Pelodiscus sinensis: one gene and its partners. The protein of the gene in region 1 interacts with the protein of each later gene in a biochemical or structural test. Links are inferred from orthologs where the notes say so. Each region holds a gene or a part of one and is shown in the gene's direction. Other genes may lie near its edges.

Region 1 (7,405 bases):
GGGTTCTCTGCTCGGTGTCCCCATCCAGTTCCCTCGTTTTAACCCTTTGACCCTCACACCCGTACCTGTTTTTTCATTATTTGTCCCCAGTAATTAGTTGGTTTTTCCAGATTCAGTGGACCCTCCCCTCAGGATGGGGGGAGGTCCTTTAGATGTGGGCGGGCTAATGCCCGCCCACCTCCTGGATACCAAATAGTACCAACTGCTCCAAGAAGCAGTAATTTAAGGTATCAAGAAATTTTAGCTCTCCATCCCATCCTGAGGTGATGTGTACTCAGTCAATACGGGGATAGTTGAAATCCCCCACTAATATTGAGGTTTTTTATTTTGATAGCCTCTCTAATCCCTTTGAATTAAGGATGTTAAAATGTGGTTAATTGACTAATTTTCCATTGACTAGTCAATAGGCACTTGTACATTTCAAAGGAAGAATGAGGAACTCCGCATAGAGTCCGGTGCCAGCAGGAAGTCCCGCTGACTCCGGGCTGCATGTGGGTGCCTGCTTTGAAATGCACAAGAGTCCCCAGCAGTCTTGTGCATTTCAAAGCCATGGAGCCTGGGGTCAGCTGGGGACTAAGAGTCCCCCGCTGATCCCGGGCTCCATGCTACACTGAATGCTCCTAGGAGTTCTGAGTGGCACTCCCCTGAAACCTGGGGTCAGCTGGGGACTCCCCAGCTGACCCTAGGCTCCCGACAGCATTTCCCTGGTACCCGGGATCAACTGGGGAGCCCTCAGCAGACGCTGGGTTCCACTGTTGCGGGGAGCCCGGCGTCAGCTGGGAGTCCTCAACTGATCCCAGGTTCTGGGGAAGTGCCACATGGAGCTGTGCAGTGGGTTCCCCTTTGAAACTGCCCCCTCCACCCATTTTACAAGGGCAGTGGAGCCCAGGGTCAGCTGAGGACTCCCCAGCTGACCCCCAGCTTTGTGCTGCACTTCCCCGGAACCTGAGATCAGCTGGGGAGTCCTGCCTGCGCAATGCCTGTGCCCTGAGCACTAGCTCCACACTCCCATTGGCTAAGAACCTGCTGCCAGCAGCTTCTGAGGCACAGCATGGTCTATGGTGTCAGTCGAGGCAGGAAGCCTGCCTTAACACCCCTGGCTGCACAGCTGACGGGAAGCTACTCAAGATAATCCCCTCCTATCTCGGCCCTAATCCCCCAAAGCCAGAGCCCCCTTCTCCTACACCCAAAAGCTCTCTTCCTCAGTCCCACCCCAGAGGCCACGCTTTAGTCAAATTATGTTGGGTTGCAGGCATCAATAATTTTCTTCAAATGGGTCACAAGGAAAATAGTTTGAAAACCACTGGACTATATGACCTCCTGAGATCTTCCAACCCTAATTTTCTATTATTCAGTTTTCAGGTTGATTTACGGTGAAATTTAGTCTTGAGAATACAAAGGAATAGATTGCAGTAGCAAGGTTTGCAACCAAAAGAAACAATTATATTCCCCTGCCCTGTTGGTGACTGAAGAGAGTTTTCTTGATCACTGGTCTATATGACCCATTAAACAACAGCTGGGGATACCACAGACTGCAAACTTTTATTACACTGGGCTAGCTTAAACCTGCCAATTAAGGGTCAGAAATAACCCTTGCCATATCTTCCAGTTCTTTCAGCATTGTGTCAGTGAGCTTCATACAACTAGCTCTTCTCCATGATTCAGACTCAAGTAGGCACTGAATAGGGTTCATCAGCAGAAGCTCAACTGGGATATGTCTATACTATGGGATAAGGTTGAATTAAGATATGCAACTTCAGCTATGTTAATTGCGTAGCTGAAGTCAAAGTACTTTAATTGAACTTCTGGTGCTGTCCACACTGCAGGAAGGTGAAGGGAGAACACTCTCCCTTTGACTTCTCTTACTTCTTGTGAAAGCAGGGATCACCCAATGAAATTAACAGACAGCAGATTTAAACAAACAGAAGTCCTAACCACACACTAAATAAAGAATCTCAGCCACTAATACCTTCATCTTCATGGTCCCCATGAAATCCTGGATTAATATAGAGAGCTCATCATCCAAGATTGATGTTTAAGTTACTGAGAAATGTCATCCTTGGAGATCCCAAAACCATTGTGGTAAGAAACTATATTAGGTCATGCAGGAACTTTGCAATGCAGCAGGATGATCTGCCTATTAGAATAAGTCCCAGAACTCTCACAAGTGTGCATTTAAAAAGTCTCAGAAGTGTAGCCATATCAGTCTGTAACTTTAAAAACAACAAGTAGTCCTGTAGCAGAATCATGAGTCTCTAAGGTGCAACAGGACTACTCATTTTTAAAGTATGCATTTAATTCAGCTTTGAGGTACAACTCCTGCATTTCAGATTAGCTATAAAAAACATAACCACAATACTTCTTCCTCCTCTTAGGCTCAAGCGGCCTGTACTCAGTGCCTGTCTAAAATCAACTATGCCAAAACTGGTCCAGCGGGATCATTCAATCTGTATTTAAGAATTGCATGCAAGACTGTTGGGGAGGGGTCACCTTTAATTAAATCATGGCCAGATGACACTTTAATAAACATTTATCTTACATATAACAGCATGTATGATCATAAGATTGGAATATTTGTCCACTGATATTGCCAACCTCTAGATGAAACCAATGGAAGAGACTGAACAATTTCTTGTTTAAACCAGGATTTCTTCCTGCCTTGTCTCCCCTGTCCATTAACACAAGGATCGAAGAATCCTAAACTTTCCAACCAAGCCCTTCATACCAAGCCTTTTTATCCACAATACAGAGCAGTTGTTCTACCTTCTTGGACACCTTCAAGGGACATAGCAGCCAAATCTGGTTGCCAGGAAAAAGATTTCCAGGGCTGGCTGCAAAACTTATTTTCTAGTCAGCAGAGAGAAAATAACCCTTCCCTGCTTCTGAGGCTCTTGCCTTTACATGAAAAATTACCAAACTTCTTCCAAACACCATCATTAGGTAAAGAAACGAGGACAAATTTATACCATCCCTTTTCCTACCTTTTTTCTCCCTGTCCCCCTTCCTCTCACTCCTACTCCAGACTAACCGCTCCAAAAAGACATAACTCCTTCCATCATAAATGTCTAACTCTTGGAAAAGGAGGAGTTCTTGTCTGCATCATCAACTGCATATTTTTACTGCTGAGGAATCAAAGATTGGTGACATGGCCTGAAATCAAGGAAAACTCAATCCACATTTTTTTGTTTTGTCATATGAATCTTTCACTTCCATCGAAGGAAAAAGGCAAACTTATCCACTCAAGTCTACACCCTTCTACAAATACCCCCTCATCAACTATTCCCAAATACACAAAAGAGGAAAAAAAGCCTTTAAAAAGTGCTCAGTCATTTCTCAAGATATGCTGACCATCATGAAAACCCAGGATAGACACAGACTATTATTGAAGGGGAGGAGAAAAATAATTTTGAATGTTAACTCCTTTTCATTCCCTCATAGCTCCCACCCATTTACCAATCAGCAACACACAATCATTTTCCACACCTCCCAATATCCATCTATTATTTCCCCAAGCACACCCCAACCAAACTAGTCCAGCATCACCCACCTATTCCCCATAAATTTTCCTGTAGTAATACCATCCACCACCCTATCCATCCCAGAATCCACTAATCCTTACAACCCACCTTCAACAGCTCACTGGTCTTTCATTATCCACTGCCATAGCCACATCCTTTTGAACCCCCAGTAGCTACTTTCACAGCACCCTAAACTTCAGTGGCACTTAACTAACCTTCATACTCACCTTTCAGTAATATAGCTCACAGCACGTCCCACCACCTCTATCCCCCCTCCTGCCGCCCCCACCCCTCCATCAGAGTAAGGATGTTAAGGGCTACTCGATTAGTCGCTCTTCCCCCTTGCTGCCTCTATCAGATAGAGGCAGGCAGCAAAGAGGGGGGGAAAGGGGAGGGGTGGGGCAGCGCCGCATGGAGCCCGCACCGACCCCATCAATCCCCAGTGATCCCTCAGCGTCCATTCTGCACCTCCCCTCTAGCAGTGCACGCTCCCTCCCTACAACGCCCGCCCTCCATCGCCCCGCGCTGCCACCCGCTCTCCGAACCCGGAGTCCCCCTCTGCCCCGCCCAGCCGCAGCAGCACGAGCCGCCCAGCCGCACCTCCGCACTGTCTCGTGCCGCGCCCAGACTAAGCTTCCAGTGCTAGGGCAGGGCGTGGAAGGGAGGAGGGGGGGGGGTGTAGCAGTATTACCATAGTTACAGTGACGTTAGCTCACCCTGGATCTAATTGGAGGAAACCCCGTGGCCCCAGCCGCAGCCCACGGACCAACCGAGCTTGCGCCCTGATTGTGCCCACCCCCGCGACGGCGCGCTACGTCTGGATTGGCTAATCGCACGCGAAGGGCGGGTCCCGGCTAGGAGCAGGCGTTCGGATTGGCCGTAGGAGCGCGGGTCTAGCAGCGGGTAGGGTTGCCTGTGCCAACGCCCTTTAGCGCTGGCTCTCGCCTGAGATAGGAGCGGCTCTTTCTCCTCGCCCCAGCCCCGAGCGGAGCGCACCCGATCCAGCGGCGTGAGCCGGCCCGGCCTTGCGGAACGGACCCAGGTGAGCGGGACCGAGATCGGCCACGGGAATGAGAAAGGTCGCCGCGTCCTCCATTTTGTGAGCGCGGCGCGGAGTCTCCGGCGGCGCCGGGAAGCGGGAGATGCCGCCAGCGCCGCCGCCATTTCGCACCCGGCGGCGCCCCGGGACGCAGCGCTTTCCCCTGGGCACGGGCCACGCCCTGCCCTGCAGAGAGCTGCCGAGCGCCGTTCTCCCCGGCAGAACGGCCGGGCCCGGCCTAAGGCGTGGAGCTGCCTCTCCCCCGCCCGCTCCGGGCTCAGCCTGCAGACCCCACCCACCCGGGCTGAGCGAGTCCTGCCCGCCGCACCACCCAAGGGGATGGGACTCCGGCGTCCCCGCCCTCCCCCGAGGGATCGAGACTCGCCGCCCTGCCGGGGAGGTTCGGGCAGTGGTTTCCCAGTGCTGCCTCTTCCCCGGCCTTGCGCTGGGGACGCGGATCCCTGTGAGCGCCCGGCCTGCTCCCGCGCCGCCTCCTTCGCCAAGGGACAAAGATTCCCCTATTGTGTCTCCTTATCTCGGGGCACCCCCCCATCTCTGCCAGCAGCGGGGGCCCCGCTTGCCCCGCGGGAGCATGAACTGCCATGCCGTCCTCGGATCCTCTTGTTCCGGGGCCATTGTGTCCCCAGACGCGCGCTAGATACCTGTCTTCTCCTTCCCGTGTCCTCTGGGGCAGTCTCATCCTGTTCGTCCTCCTGTCTCTGCCCTTCGGTCGGTGGTTATTCTACTAGCCCCATTCCCCACGGTACCCATGTTTAAGGCAAATCTCTCTGAAACAAGGCGTAGAGGGAAGCGTTTAGGCAGGGCTCCTGGAGATAGCCCCTTTAGGTTAATGGCTTCCAGCCGTCTATTTCTTCTCCTCCCCCTCTAATTTTTTTTAGTATTCCCGGGCTGCAAGCCTGGCTAGTGCACACAGGAGTGAGAGGGAGGAAAGTGGAGGTGGAAACAAAAGCCACTCTGAAGAGACTGGAGTGCCTTTTCCCACCATCTGCTCTGTAGATTGTGCTCCAGTGGGGAGGGATTGAGTTATCTTTTCCCCTGTCATGGTTTCTGGGTTATTAACCTTCTGTAGAGACCCTGGAGCACTTGTCCTGTGACCAGTTCCCTGTGAAATGGGCTGGCTATATAAGCCTAAGGTTCTTCATTCCAAGATAGCTTTTGAGGTGGTGTAGTGGTGGAGATCCTTTATGGTCTGTGATTCTTGATTAATAGAATGATGATTGGCTTGATGTCTTCTGAGTCTTGGAGAAGGACAGAGTGTGGTGTCCTGTAGTTTTTGGCTCCCAGAGTCATGGCTAATCTGTTTCCCCTCTGGCAGGTTTTGAGGTGCCTTCTCCTTTTGACAGTGTGACAGCATCAGCTTCTCCTTCTGCCTTGCTGCCCTTTCCCCACTGCCAGCCACCATGGAGAAGACCGAGATGATCCAGAAAGCCAAGCTGGCTGAACAGGCCGAACGCTATGATGATATGGCTACCTGCATGAAGGCAGTAACCGAACAGGGTGCAGAGTTATCCAATGAGGAACGCAATCTGCTCTCGGTAGCCTACAAGAACGTAGTGGGGGGACGGCGCTCTGCCTGGAGGGTCATCTCTAGCATTGAGCAGAAAACAGACACCAATGACAAGAAGATGCAGCTTGTCAAGGACTATCGGGAGAAGGTAGAGTCTGAGCTCCGATCCATCTGCACCACTGTGCTGGTGAGTGGGGGATCTGGGGATACATCTTGCAGTCCTTTGGAAGTGACATATAAAGCATCTGTTCTTAGCTCTGTTGAGATACATAGGTTTGGGTGTGGGAGATCTGTGTGCAACACTCTGCTGGGGTGTGGGATAAGCCATTGCACCACTCTACTGAGGGAAGCAGGGATAGTTAGTTGTAATGAAGTGTGGGAAAGGAGGATGCAGTGAGAGGGAAGATCAATATGGATCACTCCTGTAATTATGGGGGCTACGGAAGGATTTGAGCTCGAGATTGTGTGCACCATTGTGTAAGTACAGCAGATAGTTGAGCATAACAGGGTTGGAAGGAAAAACAAGGATGCTTCTTCCTTTTGTGGTTCCTGGTTAATAACGCTTTTGTAACCATCCAGGTTAACCAGTGTAATATCTGAATGACCGGCTTTGGAGTGCTCATTTGGGTGGTGGTCACAAAATTCTGTTACCTTAGGTCAAGAGGAGATTTGTATAACATGAATAATTTCATAAGAGGTCTTGAAGTAAAAATATACTGTATAAAATATAAAACCTTAAGAGTCAAGTATTAAATCTGTAGAAAAGCAGGCATTCGGCACTTGCAAATATACTTCTCAGACTGCCTATTACAATAGAGATGCAATGGTTGTAGAATAATGCAAAACTACCAATGATTTAAGCTTGAAAGAAGTACTGCAGATGAATATATAATAGTACAGCAATGTTTGTATTTTTTTTACTGTACCCTAGTCATCTAGATGATCATAATAGTACAAATATGCTGCAATACAGTGGGTGCTGAATCTGTGTCAGCCGTGAAGAATATGCAGCACCCTATTCCAGAGGATCAATTAAAGTTCTGGCTGCAGAAAGTTAGATGTGCAATACAGCTGGAAGCAATAAATAATCTTGAATTACTTTATCACCAGTATAATGATAAAACAGCATTTCAGGTGGTATCTTAGGAAGAGGTGATAGCAAGTTCATAAAATAAATGTGTTTCAGATTTATCCAGGTGATCAGGAGACTAGTTGTCTTTTTCAGTAGTTATTGAGAAGCAAATTCAAGCCAAGAATTCTAACTCATTTGACAAGGGGGGGGGACATCTTTCTGGGTTGTGTGGAGATACACATTCCAAT
Region 2 (7,734 bases), on another chromosome or scaffold:
GGGGGTAACAGGGCCAAGGAAAGTGGTCTAGGGGACATAGGACTAGGGGGATCAGTGGGGAACACATTAGAGAGGAACTCATTGGAGAAGAAAGGGCCTGGGGAACACAGGCCTTGGGACTCAGAGGGAGCTGGTGGGGAACGGGTTTGGGGTCACAGGATTGAGGGGGTTTCAGACGGGTCTGGAGGGGAAAGGGATTTGGAGGGCACAGATTTGGGGGATTCAGAGGGGACTGGAGGGAAAGGGGTCTGAGGGCATAGAACTGGGGGGGAGGGCTCAGAGAAGGCTGGAAGGCCCAGAGGGGGCTGGTGGGGAAGGAGTCTGTGGTTACAGAATTATGAGGGCTCAGAGGGGGCTGGAGGGCTCAGAATAGGATGGAGGGGGAGAGGTCTGGGGGCACAGAACTGGGGGGACTCAGAGGGAGCTGGAGGGAAGTGGTCTGGGGGGCACAGGACTGGGGGGCTTGATGGGGCTAGAGTAGAGGGGGTCCAAGGCATACAAGACTGGGGATGGGACAAAGGACCCAGAGGGGGGACAGCATGTGTGGTGCCTCTAATGATCCCCAGGGCCATGCCAGCCGGTGGTGGGAGTGTCTTGCTCCTTCCTGCCTTGGCTTTAGACATTGATTTGCTCTGGTTCTCCACCGGGAGCAGGGCTCCTTCTTATGGTCCCTACAAAACCCTCTCCCAGTGCACAAAAACTCCCCCCCCATTGGTGTTCAGCACCACCCTCTGCAGCAGGGAAAGCTGAGTCTCCCTCAGTCCAGCAGCCAGAGAAGGGACAGAACAAGAAAGAGTTAACAGCAGAGCAGCTTCCTCCCTCCTCCATCTGACCATGTGACTGCGCCACTAGCACCTCCCTCTTGCCGCGATGGGGCTACATAGTTGGAAACTCCTACTCTAAGGCAGAGCTGGGGTGGGGGTGGGGGAATCCTGACTCACAGCCCCCCTCCAGCCAGCAGGCTTCCTTCCTTTCCTGCCTCCTCTCCCCAGCCTCTAGGTTTCCTTCTGTCCCCCCTCTTTGGCTTTCCCTCCAGCCTGCTGACTGTCTTCTGCTGCCCGCTCCAGCCCTTGAGGTGCCTTTTGCTGCAAGGACCATTCTCTCCATGGCCGTCATAAATCATCCACGGCAAACACTCCAGAGCCCAGCCCCTGGTTCCTGAGGAAGCCCCAACAAATCAGGAGAACAACGAACTACTGGCTGGCCAGCCTGCAATTGATCCCCCAGGGAACCTAGGACTAGTTCCTTTGCGATCTGCTTTTCCCCAGTTCCCTTCAATTTTGATTGGAAGGTGTTTCTGCTGGACAGCAACCTTGCCCCTGTTGGCAGCTGAGTGGCGCAGTCTCCTGCCCCCATATTGCACATTCTTTGCTCCCTTGGAAGCCACAAGGGATGAGGGACCATATTTTTCTGCACCTCCTGGCTGCTATGGGGCATTCCTTATCCCTGGCATCAACCCCAGGACTCAGGGGTTTGAGACAGGAGTAGAAAGCCAAAGTAACCTCCTTCCAAGCAGGTCAGGCTGGCTCAACAAGCCCTAGCTGCTATTAAACACAGGCTGCTCTGAGTCAACACTCTTGGGTCCAAGCTCTGGCTCTCCCTTTGCCTCTAGGTTTGCAAACCATGGCCCTGGGGAATAATGGGACCCAGTGAGTAGGGCACTGGGTTGGAACTCAGGATGCTTGGGAATTGTTCCCAGCTCTGCCACTGACCTTGGGGAAAGGGCCTTCTCGTCTCTGGGCCTGCATATCTCCCCCCAACCTTTGTTTAGATTTTAAGCTCTTAGGGGCCCACGCTGCCTTTCCTATAGTGCTGTGATTTCAGCTGGGGGGGAGGTTGTGTCTATGCAGCCTATGGCACAATGGAGACCCTGATCTTGGTCAGTTTGTGAAGCCACAACACAATGGGGTCTTGATCTTGGTCCAGACGATCGTGGATACACAGAACAACAATAAAGCTGCACAAAGTAGTTCCCCACTGCGTGATTCTGGACGGACATTCAAGAGCGGCATGAAGCTCTGTTCATGACTGGGGCCCTCCAGTGGTAGGCTGAAAATTTTGCTTGGTGTGCTACATATGCAATCTGGCTAGGGATCCCTGGGGAACTGGCCTCATCAGCAGTCCCTCCTTGCTGATGTAGTGCTGTGTGCCAAGCTGCTAAGCAGAGAGGCAGTGTGTAGCTCTGCTGCAGTGTGCAATGTGTCATGGTGTGTTTGAACACAACAGTTTTGATAATCCTCCTGGTGTTGCACTGCACTGGAGGCCTGACTTGCTTCTTTGCTAGCTCACTATGCCCTAGCTCTCTGACTGGAATCTCTACCTCTTTACAGGATATTTGGTTCTGGGGGAAGATCAACAGAGACCCAGATTTGGGAACAATTCACAAATGCAAGCATCAGCCAGTCCCACTTGGTGGTGCTAATGTTGGCTACATGATATATGAGCATCCTCTAGTACAGTGTTTCTCAAACTGTGGTTGCATGGACCAGCATTAGACTTGCTGGGAACCAGGGCTGAAGCTGAAGCACATGCTCCACCCCACCCAGGACAGTGGGGCTTGGACTGTGGACCCCTTTCCTCCCACCCAGGGTGGTGGGATTCAGGCTCCAACCTCTCCCCCCCGGATCATGCATTAACTTTATTGTCAGAAGGGGGCTTGTGATGCAATAAGAACCCCTGCTCTAGTGTGTATGTGGATGCAGAGATATTGCACAAGTGTGTGCATGTAGGTGTGAGTATGTGCATGCAGCTGAGACTCTGGGAAGGTATGTGGATGTGTTTGCACATCAACATTGCACAGGTGTGTGTAGGCAGCTGTGACTCAGGGTAGGAGTGCTTGAGTGTGTGCACATGGCTGTGCAAGCAGATGTGTATTTTTGTGTGTGCACAAATTTACATGAGCATGCATGCAACTATAGGTGTATGCATGCAGCTGCAGATGTGTCCATGTGCATGAAGCTATGGATGCATCTGCATGTCATTGTGGGTGGGTATCTGTAGCTGTTGGAGTATTCCCGTATGTCAGGGGTGGGGAACTTTTTTTGGGTCTGGTGCCATGTGACCCATAGAAAAATCAGTCAAGGGCCACACACAAAACACACACACTGAAGCGGCTGATTGAGGAGAAAGACACTCCCTACATTGCCCTTGCACACCAGAGCCTGGCGGGCCCAGCCTAGTAGATTTTGTGTTCTCCAGCCCTGTGGTTGGGCAGTGGAGGGAGAGGGGGCACTGGAGCACCAGCACAGGCTCCCCAGTGCAGGGGAGTCCCTGAATCTCGGAGTCCGGATCCGGGCAAGCCGGGGTCCACATCTGATCCCTGGGCCTGAGGTTCCCCACCCGTACTGTATGTGATTGCCACTATGGGCCTGTACCAATGTGAGTGTGCATGATTGTACATGCAGCAGTGAGCATCTGTGGATATGCAGATGTTTGTGTGTGCAGCCCAGCCAGGAAGTGTGTGAAAGAGGCAGTGGGGACCCAGATTGTCTGTGTGTGTGCACTGCATGCAGCTGTGGCCATGTGCAAGCCATGCGAGGGCTCCCCCTGCCAATTCCTGGAGCTCGTACACTCCGGCTCCGGCTAACTGGGGCGCTGCACGTCGTCAGCAGCAGTCAGCTCCCATCGCATCTCCAGGACGCTGCAGTGGGTGCTAAGCGCCAGCTGCGTCAGCCTTTGCTGCCGGCCGGCACCAACTGCAGTTCCACCGCTTCACAGCAGGTGGCGCCGCTAGCGCACATCAGCCCGTGGGGCTGGGTGACGAGGCTTGGCAGTAGCAACCGGGAGAAGGCGGGGTCTCGTCGCTTCGGAACGTCACTGCGCGCGCGGGGGAGGAGGGCGGTTGGGTAGCGCCAGCCCCCATGCACGGAAGAGACCACTGGGAGCGGGGGGGGGGAACCCTGTGCTGTAGGTGGGTGAGGCAGGGACGCGCGGGGGGAGGGGCGTTACGGGTGAGTCTTGCGTCTCCAGGGGGCGCATGAAGCGCAGGTGCAGATGGGAGTGCGAGTGCGAGGACCTCTCCGGCTGGGCACGGGCACTTGCAGGCCTAGGCCGTGTGTCTATGCAGCTGCACTTGCAGGTGTGTGTGTGACGCGCCCAGGTGTACACACACACTTGTGCATGTTTGCACGATGCGGTGTGTACGTGAGCGCATAGCGACTCAATCCGTTGTGTGCCGGGTGTGCATCCTTGTGCGCCCATTTACCCAAATGGCTGATTTAATCTTCCTCCTCTTTAGCCTGGCTCCCCTCCGCACGGGAGAATAAGCCCCCTCGGGGGCTCGCGCAAACCACATTTGCGGAAATAGCCGAGGCTAGTCGGCTCCTCCTGTTTTCGCCCCCGGGCTCGGTTATTCGCCTTGGAAAGGCGGAAAGAGTCGAAACCTCTTCGGCTTGTTCGTTGGTTTCCGGAAATTGCCGAAAAGAGCGTCAGCAAGGGGGCGGGGAATATTCCGGAAACTGCCGATCTTCAGCCTTCGGTTACTCTCGGGCGCTCATCCGGAAGTGTCCGATTGCTGTCCCGAAGGCGAACTTCGGGTTTATCCGGAAGGAGGCGAAGTGACCGATCGCGAAAGGGGCCGCGCCTGCTGTTTCGGATGTTTCCGGAAGGAGGCGCGAACTGGCGATGACAGGGAGGGTGAATCGAGAGTTTCCGTCAGACGGCGGAAGCTGCCGAGAAGGGGTTGGGGGCTGGGGTTTCCGGAACCGGCGGAAACTGGCTCCGACGAGCGGCTCGGATGTTTCCGGAAGGGGGCGGAAATGGCCGAAGGCCGGTGGCGGCGGCCATGTTGGGATCTGCTGCCGCTGCTGCTGTGTGAATGTGAGATGCGCTGAGGGGAGCCGGGTCTCGGGGCGGAGAAGGCGGCTCGGCCAGGGGCACTCGGCCTCCGGGTCTCCTCAGCCCCGGCTCTGTGCAGCCTTCGCTCACGCGTACGCCTGGCTGCCGGCGGCGCGGCCTGGTCCCTGCGCCTCATCCCCGGGTTCGCCTGAGCCGCCGGGCCGGGCTTCCCTCATCGCGGCCCGGCGGAGACCCATGTCCGAGTCCCGGCGGTTTCCGGCTCCCTGAATCCCCCCTCCCCCTTTGGGCTCCCCCATGGTGGTGGCCTGGCCGCCCCCCCCGGTGTGAGGAGAGCCCCAGGAACCGCCGGAGCCCCAGGAGCCGCTGGCCAAGGGGGCCCAAGATGTCGAGCAGCGGCCGGAGCCCCCTCCCCACCGTGAATGAGAGAGACACGGAACAGGTAGGGGGCTGGGGGGCCCCTAACCCGAGGGAGGGAGGGAGCGAGGCAGGGAGGGCGGGATGCCGTATTTTGCTGAGGGAAGGGAATGCAGGGGGGCAGGAGAGGGGTTCCCTGCTCCGGGTGGGGGGAGATAGAGCAAGCATTGACTATAGGGTGGGTAATACCCCATGCCCTGCAGCTCCCCATCCTGTGCTTCTAATGGTTAAGTGAGGGGTGGGAACCTCCTTCTTCATAGATCGATATGCATCCTTCTTGAGTCCTTAAGGGTCCATCTGGTCTTCCCTGTGATGGGGCATGTGGAGCAGGAAGGCAGGAGAGGAGATTCCTACAGAATCCCCTGTGTATGTATACGTATCTTCCACCTAGTAAGTCCCTTCATGCCTCCCAAACTCTGTGGTCTATAGTGTACCTACTGGAGATAGTGCAGATCAGGGAAGAGATTATATGTATTCCCACATACCCAGTACTTCATCACTAACTGCTGTCAATGGAGAATGAGATATTGAGACAAATAAGGGAGAGACTACTATGTATCTGCTCTGTGCACAGAGCTACAGATCCCCTGTGTATCTTCCCTCAAAGTGGATGCAGGGACACTTGGAACCCTGTAATGATTCCCTGGTGAAAGAGAGGCATGCGGCAGGATGATACAAATAAATATCTATATAGTTCTTATTCCCATAGGCTGAGTGGTCCATGCAGGAGTGGCTGTAATCCACTTCTGTGCATTAATGCTCCACTTTCAATCTCCCTGAAATGGGAAGAAGAGAGCAGTGGATTGATTTATTCCCTGTGGCATGCATGAGCAATTGGGAGCAGGGATCTTTTCCATCTTTCCTTCCCCTCCCATATATTAATTGCCTCATCAGCCCATGCTGAATGATGGGGGTTTTGAATGGGCAAGGGAAATGGCCCCCTGCTCTGCCTCTCTTTGCCTTTTCTGCTGCTCCATATCACATCAGGTCCTTCCTTGGCTTTCATAGTGAAGGAAGATCCCACTTCCATGCTCACTCATTATTCCCCTATGCCCTTATTAGGTTTACCTCTCAAGTGCCTCATTCATTTGCAGCTCAAGATGCCTGGTGACATGGTGGTGGTTTGCTTTTTCAGGGGTGCATTTGTGAGAGATGACAACTAGTGAGCAAATTGCATTCCCAACTGAATTTAAGAAACAGCTCATAAAGACACACAAATCTAACCTGTTTTAATCCTCATGACCCTTGTGAGTCGAGACCTGCTGTAGACATGAACTTCCCATAGTCAGTAATTTTTTTTTAGGTGATTTGTGGAGAAAAGAAGGGACTGGCTGTGCAGCCAGGATCTCTCTGGCTGTTGTGTTTAGCTGCATAAGGTAATCAAAACATGGTTTTGGACTTTATTTGTAAAGAGTATTTCACTTGCACTAACAGCCTTCCTTCCATGAAGTCTGATTCATTCTAAGTGGTTGATGCCATATGCTACTTAGTCTCCTCCTTATCTTTGTCCAAAGCAAAGGTATTTTAAAAATGGGCTTCACTCCCAGTCTTGAGATGGCTATGTAGTTTAGGGATGTTAAATATTGGTTAACTGAATAGTCAAGTAACCTCATGAATTCTTATTGATTACTCGACTATTCTATAGTCCTGGGGGGAGGCGGGGGGCAGGTGCCAAGTGGGTGCTGGTCTGTGAGGGGAACCAGTTTAAAAACCAACTTCTCTTGTGGACCAGCTGTTTGTTGCCCTGTGCTGCTGCCTCTAATATAGGGGAGGCAGCAGCCCCTGTCCATGGTGGGAAGAGGTCTGAGCTCCTGGACTCATTGTGAGCCAGAACTGAGCCAAGCTGCCTGCCCACCTACCTCCTAATAATACACTTTAAATGCAGAGCTACAGTGGGGGTAGGTCTCATACCTGTCACGAGCCAGGACTGAGACAGGCTGCTCACCATACTGCTAACAAATTTACTGCCCAGCGGAGGGAATGCATGTAGTCTGTAGCATTAACCTATAAGCTTTTTCTTATTGGTTAATCAACTACACTATTGCATCCCTAATGTGGTTGTATCCCCATTACTAATGAAGCTTGAGGAGGTGTGGAATTGTGTATGTACGCTTGTGTATTGTGTGGCTAAGAGGGCCCTAGCTGCCCTTTGACCACTAATGTATGCTTTATGTTGGTGAAGTTGGTCCTGGTTTCAAAACATGCCCTGGTGCTTCTTAGAATTAATAGAATTTTCTTCTCTGGTACCTTTAAACAAGCAGGAATACAGCTTCAGAATGGGGATCAGCTCCCTCTGTTTCTATTAACTGGTCTCATTTCATCTGGCGTTCTTAACAGTTTCTTCAAAATAACTAAATTTGGCTGACATTTAAGCACAATTGATCTAAAGCTGTTTCCATGATCTCTCTTCAGCTGCCTTAACTTTAAATTGCTAAAGCATAAAAATAAAGCTTCTGCTTCCCTTATCCCTGTATGAATGGCTGGATAATGAGAATTCAGATCTCAGACTGACACTTCAGACCG
Region 3 (7,276 bases), on another chromosome or scaffold:
AATGGGACTGGGCCTGAGCCCTGAAAGGTTTAGTGTCCCCCACCACTGGCTGGGAGCTGTGTGGGACCGACCCCCTGAAGCAGCTGGGAGCTCTAGGGCCCCCCCATCCCTTCCCCTAAACTGCTGTCCCGCCTCTTCCCACCCCTGCTCAGCCTCTACCCCCATTCCACCCTCAATCCTCCTTCCCTGAGCAATTTGACCTGGCACTGGCAGCAGGGGTCAGGCCTGCCCCATACTCCCGGCAACAAGCAGAGGGACCTGGCTCCAGCCTGCTCCATTCTCCAGGTTCACAGCCACGTCACTTGCGGAAAGGCCCTAGCCTACCCCACCCCACCCCACCAGCTCCCTGCTGTGTTGCTTCACTTCCCACAGCCACCAGGTACACCTCCTCCTTATGTCCATCCAACAAACGTACTCACGCAGTGGGGAAAGATTGTACACCCAGGGACACATTGCACGAGGACAGGGTCCCATCCAAGAGTGGGAGACTATAACATTGGCTCACATCAGCATCTGGAACAGCCTGAGTCAAATGGGACTGTCATTGGGGTTCCTTGCAGGGTTACCAGTAGCTTGATGGGGCCTTTTCTTCTTGCCCTGGAACCCACAGGCAGTGCTTGGCTGTAACTGTAGTCCATGAACAAGCAGTCGAGATGGAAATGTCTTTCCCATCCACACTCATAATATTTTCCCAGGGTCATTCCCACTGGGAATGGGTTGACGGGTTGCCATCTAATCAGCATTCTCTCTGCCTTCAACAGGCCAAGTTGATAGATCATTTTCCCTGGCTCGTGAAGATCGGTAACTCATTCTAGCTATTGGCTTGGATTCCCAGGGTTCTTGGTCCTTTGACCTTGTGCCTCCAGCCCCTCAGCCTCCAAGTAGTCCTCTATCAAGGAGACTGCTCCTGTAAGTGAGGTTGAATAATGTTGCCTCATTCATTCTTTTCCTATGGTGGAGAGAATCTGAATGAACTGCACCATCATCGCTACCTGTGCCACTTGGGTCCCCTCAGCTTCTCTGGCTCCAGCCAGCACCAGAGCTTTTGGGCCACAGACCTTGGCCTAGTTCTTGGGGTGCTATCACTCCCGCCAAAGTCATTGCTGGTATGTTTCAGGGTTGATGCCCATTGAGTCAAGTATGGCCACTTTGACCAATGGGAGCTGACAAATTGTGCTGCACTGCCCCCCCACCTCCCAACGGCTAGGGATCAGCTAGCCAATACCAGTGCACCTTGTCACAGTGCTACATTAACAATACATGCCTTGTCATCATCAATACAACATCCTAGGTGGGCTCCTGACATTGGGAAGGGTATTGTACAAGTACTTCCTGGGGGGCTCCCTAAGCACTGAAGCTGGTTGCAGAGCCTGTGGGAGCCTAGGGCTGACCCCATCAACAGACCTATTCCCCAACCTTAACTCTGTTCCCAAGGGAGATTTCCTAGGCCTGCAGATGTCCTGGCCAGCTCCTCCATGAGCCTTCGGTGTACAGACAGCTTGGATTGGCAATTGAAGCTCCTCTCAGGCACTGCGTGGCCCTGTAAGGGCCTCTCTCCCATTTGATCCCTCTGGTGCATGGTCAAGATGGACAGGATGGTGAGGTTCTTCTTCCATATGATACACTTTTAGAGCTGCTTCCTGCTATACATTCCTTGGTGCATGATCAGACTAGAGAGCTTGTGATGCTGCTGGTACATGAAGCAAGGTCTCGTGCACAATGAGGTAGGACTGCCGCTAAAGCATTTCTGGCACTGGGCACACCATCAGGGCCTCTCTCCTATGTGGATTCACATGTGCAGGTTGAGTTTTGATACTTTTCAAACTGATACGGTCTCTGGCCACAGTTCGTTTATTGATGGGTCCTGAGCTAAGACAATGTGTTGAAGCTGCTCGCACACAACTTGTACAGGGGGAGCTCTCACCCACATGGATGCACATGTTCACAGTGAGATTCTTCTGCTATCAGAAGCTCTCCTTACATTGTGTGTTCCTGTAGCTCATCACTGGCTGGGTAGAGTTGGGAAGCACCAGTTCCTCCCGCAGGCAAAACAGCAAAGGAGATTCCAGACATATTGCTCCCTTTTGGGTTCGGCGTGGTCATGTATCCTACATGCAGTTAATCTCTGGCTTTCGTTCCAGGAGTCACCATCTAGAATGGGTGGAGGGGAAGCCAAAGGTGGTTTGCATTGCACATCACCACACCGAAAGCCCCCAATGTGCTTCTCTGATTGAGGGGCGCCATTCTCAACACCCTATTACAGTATTGTCATCCTCAAATGGTTAAAAATGTGCAAAACCCAGAAGAGTAAGTAAAGTAAAATGTGGGCTCTTTTTATTCCACTGTTTTTGCCCTTAGTTAAGCACTTCAGTCACATTTTGAATCTTTTCTCTGTAATCAGGAGGTCTAACAATCCATTTGGTTGTTTCATGAGAGTGGAGCTAAAAGCTAGGCATTATTATTCTTAGTCTCACTTGATCACATGCCTCCAGTAGCCCAGGCTTTGAAGAAAAACTTCAAAGGTTTCGTTAGTCTTTAAAGTGCTACTAGACCATTGTTGTTTGTTTAAGTTTTTCCTGTTACAGACTAACTCGGATACCCTTCTGAAGCTTTGGAAGGTTGTGACACTTGTGGGAACTGCCCCACGGTGTGGCTTTAAGTGGCTTGTGGCTTCGGCACTCCTGCTATAAAAACTATTCCGGTGCCACTGGACTTGGGCTAAAACCGCAGGATTTGGGAACGGTGCTCTTAAAACCAGGCGGAAACGTTGCCCCATAAAAACGTCCTCGGGGGGGGGGGGGTTCCCACGCCTGTTTCTCGGTGATTTCCGTGCCACGGATGCTGAGGTGATGAGGATCTGCGGATGCTGAGGTGATGAGGATCTGCGGATGCTGAGGTGACAAGGATCTGCGGATGCTGAGGTGATGAGGATCTGCGGATGCTGAGGGGATGAGGCGAAGGATCTGCGAATGCAGAGGTGACAAGGATCTGCGGATGCTGAGGTGATGAGGATCTGCGGATGCTGAGGTGACAAGGCGAAGGATCTGTGGATGCTGAGGTGACAAGGATCTGCGGATGCAGAGGTGACAAGGATCTGCGGATGCAGAGGTGACAAGGATCTGCGGATGCTGAGGTGATGAGGATCTGCGGATGCTGAGGGGATGAGGCGAAGGATCTGCGGATGCTGAGGTGACAAGGATCTGCGGATGCTGAGGTGATGAGGATCTGCGGATGCTGAGGTGACAAGGCAAAGGATCTGCGGATGCTGAGGTGACGAGGATCTGCGGATGCTGAGGTGACGAGGTGAAGGATCTGCGGATGCTGAGGTGACAAGGCAAAGGATCTGCGGATGCTGAGGTGATGAGGATCTGCGGATGCTGAGGTGACGAGGCGAAGGACCTGCGGATGCTGAGGTGACGAGGATCTGCGGATGCTGAGGTGATGAGGCGAAGGATCTGCGGATGCTGAGGTGACGAGGATCTGCGGATGCTGAGGTGATGAGGCGAAGGATCTGCGGATGCTGAGGTGATGAGGATCTGCGGATGCTGAGGTGACGAGGTGAAGGATCTGCGGATGCTGAGGTGACGAGGCGAAGGACCTGCGGAGCCAGCCGCCGACGTCCCCCCGGGATCCGAGAGTCAAGCTGGTTCTTTCCCACCCGGAGCAGGGTCTCTAGACAGAGAGGTCCTAGGAGCTGAGCTACCAGTTACCAGCCATGCTTGTGCTGCCCAAATGGCATGTGATTACACCCATGGCCTCCTCATGCATCCCCACCCCCTCCCAGTGTTGCCCTCAGCGATGGCTCCTGATCCTGAGCTGCTGAGGTGAGGTTACTAGAGACTACACATCCCAGCATGCAACGCTCCCCATTGAGCCGAAGGATCCAGGGATCCAGCTGGAGCGTTGCATGCTGGGATTTGTAGTGCCACTGGCGCGCCTAGGAGGGCGGTGGCTGTGAGTGTCAACGAAAAAACCCGCCGGCGCCCAACGGGCTCATCGGCAATTCTACTGGTCAGGTCTCCTGTCACACAATGCAGGGGCGGGAGGAAGGAATCTTTGGCGGGTTTCAATTGGCTTTCCCGCTTGCCGTCCCTTCTGTTCTATTGGCCAGCCCCGCTCTGTGGGCGGAGGAAAGACGAAGGCCAATGTCTTGGTCATTCCACGAGGGGAGGGGGCGGGAAAGGAAAAGCGTCCGGTTTGTGATTGGTCGCGAGGCGCCGCTGCTCTTTTTTCACCCCCTCCCCGCCCCAGAGTGGCGGTCCCTCAGAGAGGTGGGCGGGGCGCGGCCAGACGGCTTCTGATTGGCGGGCCCGCGTTTGGCGCCAGCTTCGGGTGTCCGCGGGGAGCTCGCGCGCGCGCGCTGTGCGGCTGACGGGAGGGCCCGGGCGCGGGGGTCGCCGCCGACAGCAGGAGCCGCCCGCCCGCCGCATGGATCCCGGCCCCGGCCCCGGCCCGCCGGGCCCCCACCGCCGCCGCCTCCTCCTGCCGCAGCTGCCGGCCGCCGGGCCCGGCGTGGCCAAGTCCCTGTTCCCCGCCGAGCTCTCCCCGGTCTCCGGCCTCAGCCGCACCATGAAGCAGCTGCAAGGGCTCGGCTACAGGTGGGACCGGCCCGCCCCCTGCAGCCCCCACATCCCCCCCCCCGTCTCCGCACTTCCCCCCTCCCCCACACTGCCCCACGTGACACCCGCTCTTCGCCCCCCCCCCCCCCCCCGTCAGCTGCCGGAATCCCGCAGGGGCGTTTTCTCCCTCCCCACGTGTGGCTCCCAGAGCGCCCCCCCCCAGCCTGGAACCTGCCCCCCCCACTAACCTCATCCCGCCTGCAGGGGCCCCCCCCCCCACTAACCTCATCCCGCCTGCAGGGCCCCCCCCCCCCACTAACCTCATCCCGCCTGCAGGGCCCCCCCCCCCCACTAACCTCATCCCGCCTGCAGGGCCCCCCCCCCCCACTAACCTCATCCCGCCTGCAGGGCCCCCCCCCCCCCCACTAACCTCATCCCGCCTGCAGGGCGCCCCCCCCCACTAACCTCATCCCGCCTGCAGGGCGCCCCCCCCCCCCACTAACCTCATCCCGCCTGCAGGGCCCCCCCCCCCACTAACCTCATCCCGCCTGCAGGGGCCCCCCCCCCCTAACCTCATCCCGCCTGCAGGGCGCCCCCCCCCACTAACCTCATCCCGCCTGCAGGGCGCCCCCCCACTAACCTCATCCCGCCTGCAGGGCCACCCCCCCCCACTAACCTCATCCCGCCTGCAGGGCCCCCCCCCCCCACTAACCTCATCCCGCCTGCAGGGCGCCCCCCCCCCACTAACCTCATCCCGCCTGCAGGGCGCCCCCCCCCCACTAACCTCATCCCGCCTGCAGGGCGCCCCCCCCCCCACTAACCTCATCCCGCCTGCAGGGCCCCCCCCCCACTAACCTCATCCCGCCTGCAGGGGCCCCCCCCCACTAACCTCATCCCGCCTGCAGGGCGCCCCCCCACTAACCTCATCCCGCCTGCAGGGCGCCCCCCCACTAACCTCATCCCGCCTGCAGGGCCACCCCCCCCCACTAACCTCATCCCGCCTGCAGGGCGCCCCCCCACTAACCTCATCCCGCCTGCAGGGCCCCCCCCCCCCCACTAACCTCATCCCGCCTGCAGGGCCCCCCCCCCCCCACTAACCTCATCCCGCCTGCAGGGCGCCCCCCCCCCCCACTAACCTCATCCCGCCTGCAGGGCGCCCCCCCCCCACTAACCTCATCCCGCCTGCAGGGCGCCCCCCCCCCCCCACTAACCTCATCCCGCCTGCAGGGCGCCCCCCCCCACTAACCTCATCCCGCCTGCAGGGCGCCCCCCCCCCCCACTAACCTCATCCCGCCTGCAGGGCGCCCCCCCCCCACTAACCTCATCCCGCCTGCAGGGCGCCCCCCCCCCCCCCACTAACCTCATCCCGCCTGCAGGGCGCGCCCCCCCCACTAACCTCATCCCGCCTGCAGGGCGCGCCCCCCCCCACTAACCTCATCCCGCCTGCAGGGCCCTCCCCCCCCCACTAACCTCATCCCGCCTGCAGGGCCCCCCCCCCCCCACTAACCTCATCCCGCCTGCAGGGGCCCCCCCCCCCACTAACCTCATCCCGCCTGCAGGGCCCCCCCCCCCCCGCACTAACCTCATCCCGCCTGCAGGGCCCCCCCCCCCCCCGCACTAACCTCATCCCGCCTGCAGGGCCCCCCCCCCCCCACTAACCTCATCCCGCCTGCAGGGGCCCCCCCCCCCCACTAACCTCATCCCGCCTGCAGGGGCCCCCCCCCCCACTAACCTCATCCCGCCTGCAGGGCCCCCCCCCCACTAACCTCATCCCGCCTGCAGGGCCCCCCCCGCAGCCCTAACGCATCCCCAGCCATGCGGCCCCCCCAAAAACCCACTTGTGCCTGTGGCCTCGCCCCCTCAGCTTCCATAGCCCCCAGGACCTCGCCCCTACAGCGGCTTCACGCCGGCTCGCCCAGACTTCACCCCGCAGCCTCCTTGTAATTGCCTCCGTGGGGCCCCCATCACTCCACCCCTATAACCTTTCTGGTACCAGGCTCCCTAGTTCCTTGGCGCCTGTCCCCTTCCTCTGTATCTGGCTCTCTGGGCTCCAGTCCTGCAGCCTTCCAGACTTCTTGGGCCTGCACTTCTCCTTCGGATGGCTCTCATGACTCTTCCCCCTGCATTCCTAATCTCTGCAGCTCCTGTGAATCCTGGTCTGTCCAGCTCTACAACATATGGCCCCCCATAACCTCACCCATGTAACCACCTTGGCCCCTTTGTTGTTTTTCTCCAGCCCGTTACTCCACCTATATAACCTTTACTTCCACTATATATAGTTCCCCTGAGCTCATTCCTGCAACCTCATGGCTCCCTGGTACTGGTCTGTTTAGTGCACCCTTTCAACACAGCCCACATGGTGCCACATATGATCTCAATATTATTCCTAGTTGCTGCCACATACCTTATGCATGAGTCCCCATGACCTTGTCCGGAGACAGCTATGTGTGCTGTGTTCATTATGGGTACTCAAAATTTCAATTTGCAGGACTGTTAAACTGGCACGTTTTTGCATTGTCCACTACTTAAACTGATCAATTCTGTTCCGAATGGAGCTCATCTACAGTGTTTCTACATTTTAAACCTATTGTGACACTTTCTGGCTGAAACATTGAGTAAAATAACTCTGTTTTTAATCTTTATAGTCAGCATGAAAACTCTCTGCTAATGCTGGAAATGAGGAACAGTAGCAATCTACAAAGAACAGACTCGTCGGA
Region 4 (7,787 bases), on another chromosome or scaffold:
CATTACCTTGTACATGTTAGTTCGAGCAAAACATCCCTATCCATTACGGTGTCATTCTGACCTTATCTTTAGCAGGGATCATTATGTTCTTGTTATCCTGGTGGAGGGGGTGGGAGGCAGCTGTTTTTATGGGATGTTCTAGTACCAGTTTTCTGGAATATGTTTGCCTGGAACATGTGAGTGTATAGTGTCTACCCTTTATGAGAATATGTATGTTTTTGCAATACCCATCCTGTTCTTTCCAGGTTCTGTGAGCTCAGAGCCCGTCGGTGTACAGTGCCTTGCACTCTCAGGCTGCAATCTGTTTCAGGTCTCTGTTAATTATTATTATTAAACATTTAGGTATTGTAGTGCTTGGAGGGAAATACATATTTCCTTTAGGTATAATCATAGGAAGAGATCCTTGACTTGAACCTGGGAAACTCTGATCTAAGATAAAATGTAGATATTTTCAGAGAAATTAAATATTTGGAAAATACTCCGAAGATAAGATCAGTTTTCTCTATTATTTCTTCATTTTATCTGCTCTCATTGTTTCTGCTGTAAATGGGGCCCAACCTTTGGCCATTATCTTTGAAAACTCGTGGAGATCGGGAGAGATCCTGGATGACTGGAAAAAGGCAAATGTAGTGACCATCTTTAAAAAAGGGAAGAAGGCCAATCCAGAGAATTACTGATCAGTCAGCTTTACCTCAGTCCCTGGAAATATCAAGGAGGGGATTCTCAAGGAATCCATTTTAAAGCACTTGGAAGAGGGGAAAGTGATCAGGAATAGTTAACATGGATTCACCAAGGGCAAGTCATGCCTGACCAATCTGATTAGCTTCTATCATGAGGTAACTGTCTCTGTGGATATGGAAAAATCGGTGGATGTGATCTACCTTGACTTTAGCAAAGCTTTTAATGTGGTCTCCCACAATATTCTTGCCAGCAAGTTAAGGGAGTATGGATTGGATAAATGGACTGTAAGATGGCTAGAAAGCTGACTAGACTGTTGGGCCCAACGGATAGTGATCAACGGCTCAATGTCAGGTTGGTGGTCAGTTTCTAGTGGAGTGCCCCAAGGATCAGTTATACGACTGATTTTGTTCAACATCTTTATTAATGACCTCGATGAGGGGATGGATTGCACCCTCAGCAAGTTTGTAGATGACACTAAGATAGGGGAAGAGGTAGATAAACTGGAGGGTAGGGATATGGTCCAGAGTGACCTAGACAGATTAGAGGATTGGGCCAAAAGAAATCTGATGAGGTTCAACAAGGACAAGTGTAGAGTCCTGCACTTGGGATGGAAGAGTCCCAAGCATTGTTACAGGCTGGGGACTGAATGGCTAAGTAGTAGTTCTGCAGAAAAGGACCTGGGGATTACAGTGGATGAGAAGCTGGATATGAGTCAACAGTGTGCTCCTGTAGGCAAGAAGGCTAATGGCATAATAGGTTGCATTAGGAGGAGCATTGCCAGCAGATCTAGAGAAGTGATTATTCCCCTTTATTCGGCTCGGGTGAGGCCACATCTGGAGTATTGTGTCCAGTTCTGGGCCCCCCACTATAGAAAGGATGTGGACGCATTGGAGAGGGTCCAGGGGAGGGTAACCAAAATGATTGGGGGGGCTGGAGCACATGACCTATGAGGAGAGACTGAGGGATTTGGCTTTGTTTAGTCTGCAGAACAGACGAGTGAAGGGGGATTTGATAGCAGCCTTCAACTTCCTGAAGGGAGGTTCCAAAGAGGATGGAGAAAGCCTGTTCACAGTAGTGACGGATGGCAGAACAAGGAGCAATGGTCTCAAGTTACAGTGGGGAAGTTCTAGGTTGGATATTAGAAAAAAACTATTTCACTAGGAGGGTGGTGAAGCACTGGAATGGGTTACTTAGGAAGGTGGTGGAATCTCCATCCCTAGAGGTTTTTAAATCTCGGCTTGACAAAGCCCTGGCTGGGATGATTTAGTTGGGATTGGTCCTGCCTTGGGCAGGGGGTGGACTTGATGACCTCCTGAGGTCTCTTCCAGCTCTATGATTCTATGATTCTATTTATTCCTTACCTAGAAAATTCCCACTGAAATTTAAAGTAAATAAGGATACATATGGTCATGAGCTAGGGCCCATTTTACGTGTGCATGTTTTATATATAATACATTTACATGACTCAAACCTCATTATTCTCTGATTCTTGGCAGTTCTAGTCTTTGATGGGACCCTGTTTCATTTTTTCCATCTATGTAGCAATGAAGGCTAGTTCTCCCTTTCTTCCAGTGACTTTTACAGATCTCTGGAGGCCAGGAGGAGGTGCCATTACCATGCTCAGTAACCAATAATCTAATGACCACGAGCAAGTGCTCTGAAGTCTGAAGTTTGGGAGTTTTTGTTTTGTGTAACCTTAAATTTAGTGTTAATTTTAATATCTCTGTGTGTAAATACATATCTATCATATATACTTTATAACTTTTTTTATATATGTAATGTTAGCAAAGCTTCCAAGAAAGTAGAAGATAGGATACACAAAGAACAAGTTAAAAATCACTTAGGAAAGTTAGATGTCAGCAAGTCACCAGGTTCTGATGAAATGCATCCCAGGATACTCAAGGAGCTGATAGAGGAGGTATCTGAGCCTTTAGCTATGATTTTTGAAAAATCATGGAAGACAGGGGAGATTCCAGAAGACTGGAAAAGGGCAAATATTGTGCCCATCTATAAAAAGGGGAATAAGAACAACCCAGGAAACTATAGACCGGTCAGTTTAACGTCTGTCCCAGGGAAGATAATGGAGCAGGTAATTAAGGAAATCATATGCAAACACTTGGAAGGTAATAAAGCGATAGGGAATAGCCAGCATGGGTTTGTGAAGAACAAGTCATGCCAAACTAATCTGATAGCTTTCTTTGATAGGATAACAAGCCTTGTGGATAAGGGAGAAGCGGTGGATGTCCTATACCTAGACTTTAGTAAGGCATTTGATACGGTCTCGCATGATATTCTTATTGATAAACTAGGCAAATATAACTTAGATAGGGCCACGATAAGGTGGGTGCATAATTGGCTGGATAACCGTAGTCAGAGAATTGTTGTTAACAGTGCTAAATCCTGCTGGAAAGGGATAACAAGTGGAGTTCCGCAAGGGTCTGTTTTGGGACCCATACTGTTCAATATCTTCATCAATGATGTAGATATTGGGATAGAGAGTACGCTTATTAAGTTTGCAGATGATACCAAACTGGGTGGGGTTGCAACTTCTTTGGAGGATAGGGGCATAATTCAAAATGACCTTAGCAAGTTAGAGAAATGGTCAGAGGTAAACAGGATGAAGTTTAATAAAGAGAAATGCATGTGCTCTACTTAGGAAGGAACAATCAGTTCCATACATACTAGATGGGAAGCGACTGTCTAGGAAGGAGCATGGAGGAAAGGGATCTAGGGGTCATAGTGGACCACAAGTTGAATATGAGTCAACAGTGTGATGCTGTTGCAAAAAAAGCAAATATGATTCTAGGTTGTATCAACAGGTGTGTTGTAAGCAAAACTCATGAAGTCATTCTGCCGCTCTACTCTGCACTAGTTAGGCCTCAGCTGGAGTACTGTGTCCAGTTCTGGGCGCCACATTTCAAGAAAGATGTGGAGAAATTGGAAAGGGTACAGAGAAGGGCGACAAGAATGATTAAAGGTCTGGAGAACATGACCTATGAAGCCAGACTTCATGAACTGGGCTTGTTTAGTTTGGAAAAAAGAAGATTAAGGGGGGACATGATAGCGGTTTTCAAATATCTAAAAGGGTGTCACAAGGAGGAAGGAGAAAATTTGTTCCTCGTGGTTTCTGAGGACAGGACAAGGAGTAATGGGCTTAAAGTGCAGCAAGGGAGGTTTAGATTGGACATTAGGAAAAAATTCCTAACTGTCAGGGTGGTCAAATATTGGAATAAATTGCCAAGGGAGGTGGTGGAATCTCCCTCTCTGGAGATATTTAAGAATAGGTTAGATAGACATCTGTCAGGCATGGTGTAGATGGAGCTTGGTCCTGCTTTGAGGGCGGGGGGCTGGACTCGATGACCTCTCAAGGTCCCTTCCAGTCCTATGATTCTATGATTCTCAACAGCTCTCAATGCTGGCCTAACTTTAGAAGGAGCAGAGATAGGCAGATACCTAACACTTGAAAATTATGCCCTCAGTGTATACTCTTTTTCACCATTCATATTTGATTGTCAGAACAGGTCTGCTTTTGCTTTCTTTATAACAATGGCAAAATGACTTCACTGGCAACTGGTTGGGCTCTAAATTGCCACCTGATAGTAGAAAACTACTGCAACAATGCAAATGGTGTAACCATTAATTGGTTCCTTAATCTGAATATGGGACAGTCTTTTAAAGATTTATCAGGAACAGTTTAAATGTCAACAAAATCTGAAAATCAATAAATGGCTTAACCCAGTATGTATATTGGTTCTTAGTAATTAAATTTTGTTTCGGACTTTTTGTTTTGTAGCTTTTATCTGTGTGGCAGCATAGTATTTTCCAAACAACCTTAATAATTACAGTTTAAATTAGAATTTGGCTTGAGAACATGTAAGCAACTCTGGGAATAACTATTTCAAACAATAAAAAAGTTTAAAAGTTATTTTATTAGATAAATGCAACTAATAAAGAAAAAAAACATGCTTTAGAATGCCTTCAACAATTCTGAGTGTTTTTAAAGACATCAAGAGGAGGGGAGTGTGTTAGTCTGTCATCCCATGGAGAAGCCTTATCTATACTTCCTCTCCCTTCCTTTCTCTTTTCCTCCATTTCATAAGGTTGTGAGCCATGACAGTTGTGTGGTGCTGTTGATACTAAAAGAGGAGTCTTTCATTTACATGTTTAACACTTCAGTTTTTCAGAAATTGAAAATATTTTCAAGTTTATATGCTGTTTTGAAATTCTATCCTAGATGGACATAAATAAAAGGGAGCAGGTTTGATAGCACATGCATCCTCTTCTTTGTGAATCCTACTGGAGTTGTGTTGAGGACTGTGACGGGGCTAACCTGCCCCGCACTGAGCAGGAGGGAGAGGAGCCCGTTTATTGGGTAGAGCATGCCCCTCCCCCACAGTCCTACTGGGCATGCTCGAAGTGCAGCCTCACTATAAAAGACTGCTGGGCTGCTCAGCTGGAGCAGACCGCCGGGGAGGAAGGAGCTCCGGCCCAAGCTACAGGCCTGCCGCCGGACCTGCCACCAGATTCAGAGCCGGAGGGATCGCCGCTATTGCTACTACCATCCCCGGGGCGTGCATGCCCCCAATGCCGACGCCGGGGGGCCGCCCGCCCCGCTGCAGGAGACACCCCCTGTGCTGCTGCCCCAGAGACGGGACCAGCTGACGTTGCCGCCGCCACCAGCCCAGCATCACCAGGTGGGACCTCCGTTGGCCACAAGGCTGGGGTAGGAAGCAACCCAGGGCAAGGGACAGGGAAGGCCCCGGTGGGCTCAGCACGTTTCAGGGAAACCCCTCCTCCCCCCGCTGAGCCAGTGGTGGGAACCACCCACCACCATTAGGGCCCTGGGTTGGGGTCCGGTGGAGATGGAGGGCCCGGACCCCCCTACCCCAACCCCTCAGGGTGTGGACTAGGCCTCTGGCCTGTTGCGGGGGCTGGACTAGGCCTCAGGGCCTGCTGGGACTGTGGACTAGGCCTCCGGGCCCATTGCGGCTACTAGACTAGGCCTCCGGGCCGATAGCTAGCTCTTTAATCACGGGGAGAAAGGAAAGGGGTGGGGAGGACCCCGCCACAAGGACCAAAACACATGATTCACAGTTGTTAGGTGGGCCTCTTAAGTGGGGTATAAATTTACCAAACTTAAAAAAATCTTTCCTCACTTCTATTCTCTTATTTCTTACCTTTCTCCTCTCCTTTTCCTCATTTAATTATATTTCTTAGGCAGATGTGGTATTACACCAGGGCTGGGCAATAATTTTTTGCTGGGGGCCACTTCAAAGATTTTTGAAGTGGCCATGGGCTGTGCCAGAAAGGGTGGGGCTAGGATGCTTCAAGGCTTCCCCACCCACAGACTATGATTGGTCTGGGGGTGTGGGAGCTTCTTTGCCCCCCCTTTCCTCTAAGCACCTATGCCTCTGGTGGTGGGAGACTTCCTGTGCTCCCTCACCTCCAGGCCAATCAGGGCCTGGGGCTGGGGGAGCATGCAAAGCCTCCTCCTGCCCTTCCAAGAGCACTTCTCACAAGGCGGGGGCAGGGCAGAGGAAACTTAGGTGCTGGGAGGAGACTTCCCGTGCTCCCCCACCCCCAGGCTAATCATGGTCTGTGGGTGGAGAAACCTGGAAGCATCCTGGCCCCACCCCTTCCATTTGAGGCCCCACCCCTTCTCAGCCTTCCTGGCAGGGCAAAGGAAACTTTGCATGCTTCCCCCTGTTCCCAGACCCTAATTGACCTGGGGGTGGGGAAGCGGCAGGGCCTCCATGGGCTGGATCAACTCACTTGGCGGGCCGGATTCAGCCTGCAGAGGCTCTTTTGCCCACCCCTGTACTATAGCCTTTGGGCTTTTAAACTGTTCTGACATGGTGAACTAAGGCCATATAAAACCAGAAATTTCTTTCAGTTCAGAACTCTGGTTGATACATCTTTGGGATTCTGTCTAGTTCTCTTCCTTCTCTCAACTCTCCCAAGAACTCTAAGATGGGAAAAAGTGCTGAGTTCACCAGCAGCTCGACTGTCAGGCTCCTTCCTTCCCCTACTACCGGTTACCAGGTGTCCGGTATTCACCCGGACAGTCCAGTATTTTTACCTCCAGTCCAGTAAAAAAAATTCAGAGAATACCGGACACCTAAAATGTTCTGTATTTTCTGATTTATTTTCCCTGGCCAGGAGGCGAAAATGCTGGGCACCTGGCAACCCTACAAACACTCAGCGCCCAGCCTCCCCTTCCCCTTGCCCGCCCCCTGGCTCCCAGCACCCCAAGCCCCTCGACCCCAGCTCCCATGCTTACCTGGTTCCACAAAATGGCTGCCAACCAAGGGGAAGTTTCCCCTGGGTCTCAGTGCTCAACAGCTCCCCTGTTCCCAGTGGTTTTTTTTGGGGGGGGGGGGTGGCGGGGGGTGTTCGGTATTTTTGTTTCAACCATCTGGCAACCCTACCTACTACCTGTGGCTAGGCTGGCGCCATGGGAAAACCTGAGTCCCTCTAGAACAGGGCACTGGCCAGGAAGAGCCAAGCCATGCATGTGCCAAAGCTCTAAAAGTTGCTGTCACGAGGAAGCTTTTCAGACCCTTAATTAAGTTCTGGAGTGGTGGGAGAAGAATTTTCCAGCTGTAAACGTGTCCCCCCGTACCCCCATGCGAGGCAGGGGGTTTTACGTTCGTTCACCCAGTTCCATCCCCTAACCCCCGGGTCCAGTCCCCTAATGATCGTCCCACCAGAGTCCCAGTTAATTGTGCTACTAGTTTCTTAGGTCCTTTTGTAATATAGGTTGGTTTGCCTCCTGGATGGGGAGAGGGGGGTCCAGGCCTGCTCCCTCTCACGGACCCCAGCCCAGGGCCCTAAGGTCTTGGACGTCCAGCTTGTCCGGTCCGGCTGGCGGGGCTTTAGCCGAAACGCGCCAGCCCGCAGGCCCCATTGGCCCGTCCTGGGCTGCTTCCTCTCCCCACCTAGGGTTGGCCCGCCGAGGCGGGGCTCACCTCCTCGATTTGGGGCTCATCCGTCGTCCTCTCACGGGGGGAGACGCTCTCGGTACTCCCTCCTTCTCACACTCCCAGCCGGGGTTTAAATCCCCGCGCCGCGGCCTGTCGGCGGGGCCCCGCCCAGTGGCGTGGCAT

What was found.
Region 2: the proteins of YWHAQ (region 1) and MARK2 form a complex in vitro, tested with the Homo sapiens proteins (2 studies listed by BioGRID, with this or other methods). The link is inferred for Pelodiscus sinensis from reciprocal best matches to the Homo sapiens genes YWHAQ and MARK2.
Region 3: the proteins of YWHAQ (region 1) and CDC25A form a complex in vitro, tested with the Homo sapiens proteins (2 studies listed by BioGRID, with this or other methods). The link is inferred for Pelodiscus sinensis from reciprocal best matches to the Homo sapiens genes YWHAQ and CDC25A.
Region 4: the proteins of YWHAQ (region 1) and PRKD1 form a complex in vitro, tested with the Homo sapiens proteins (2 studies listed by BioGRID). The link is inferred for Pelodiscus sinensis from reciprocal best matches to the Homo sapiens genes YWHAQ and PRKD1.

The regions. Positions count from the first base shown.
Region 1 is NC_134713.1:27,905,018-27,912,422, forward strand, and holds the start of YWHAQ (14-3-3 protein theta), read left to right. Parts: upstream 1-4,404; 5' UTR 4,405-4,560; intron 4,561-5,893; 5' UTR 5,894-5,978; coding exon 5,979-6,272; intron 6,273-6,278; exon of another isoform or gene 6,279-7,405. UniProt on the Homo sapiens protein: Adapter protein implicated in the regulation of a large spectrum of both general and specialized signaling pathways. Binds to a large number of partners, usually by recognition of a phosphoserine or phosphothreonine motif.
Region 2 is NC_134721.1:33,913,456-33,921,189, reverse strand, and holds the start of MARK2 (serine/threonine-protein kinase MARK2), read left to right. Parts: upstream 1-4,730; 5' UTR 4,731-5,179; coding exon 5,180-5,236; intron 5,237-7,734. UniProt on the Homo sapiens protein: Serine/threonine-protein kinase. Involved in cell polarity and microtubule dynamics regulation. Phosphorylates CRTC2/TORC2, DCX, HDAC7, KIF13B, MAP2, MAP4 and RAB11FIP2. Phosphorylates the microtubule-associated protein MAPT/TAU.
Region 3 is NC_134712.1:257,276,557-257,283,832, reverse strand, and holds the start of CDC25A (M-phase inducer phosphatase 1), read left to right. Parts: upstream 1-4,265; 5' UTR 4,266-4,428; coding exon 4,429-4,598; intron 4,599-7,204; coding exon 7,205-7,276. UniProt on the Homo sapiens protein: Tyrosine protein phosphatase which functions as a dosage-dependent inducer of mitotic progression. Directly dephosphorylates CDK1 and stimulates its kinase activity. Also dephosphorylates CDK2 in complex with cyclin-E, in vitro.
Region 4 is NC_134714.1:52,189,613-52,197,399, forward strand, and holds the start of PRKD1 (serine/threonine-protein kinase D1), read left to right. Parts: upstream 1-4,774; 5' UTR 4,775-4,951; coding exon 4,952-5,375; intron 5,376-7,787.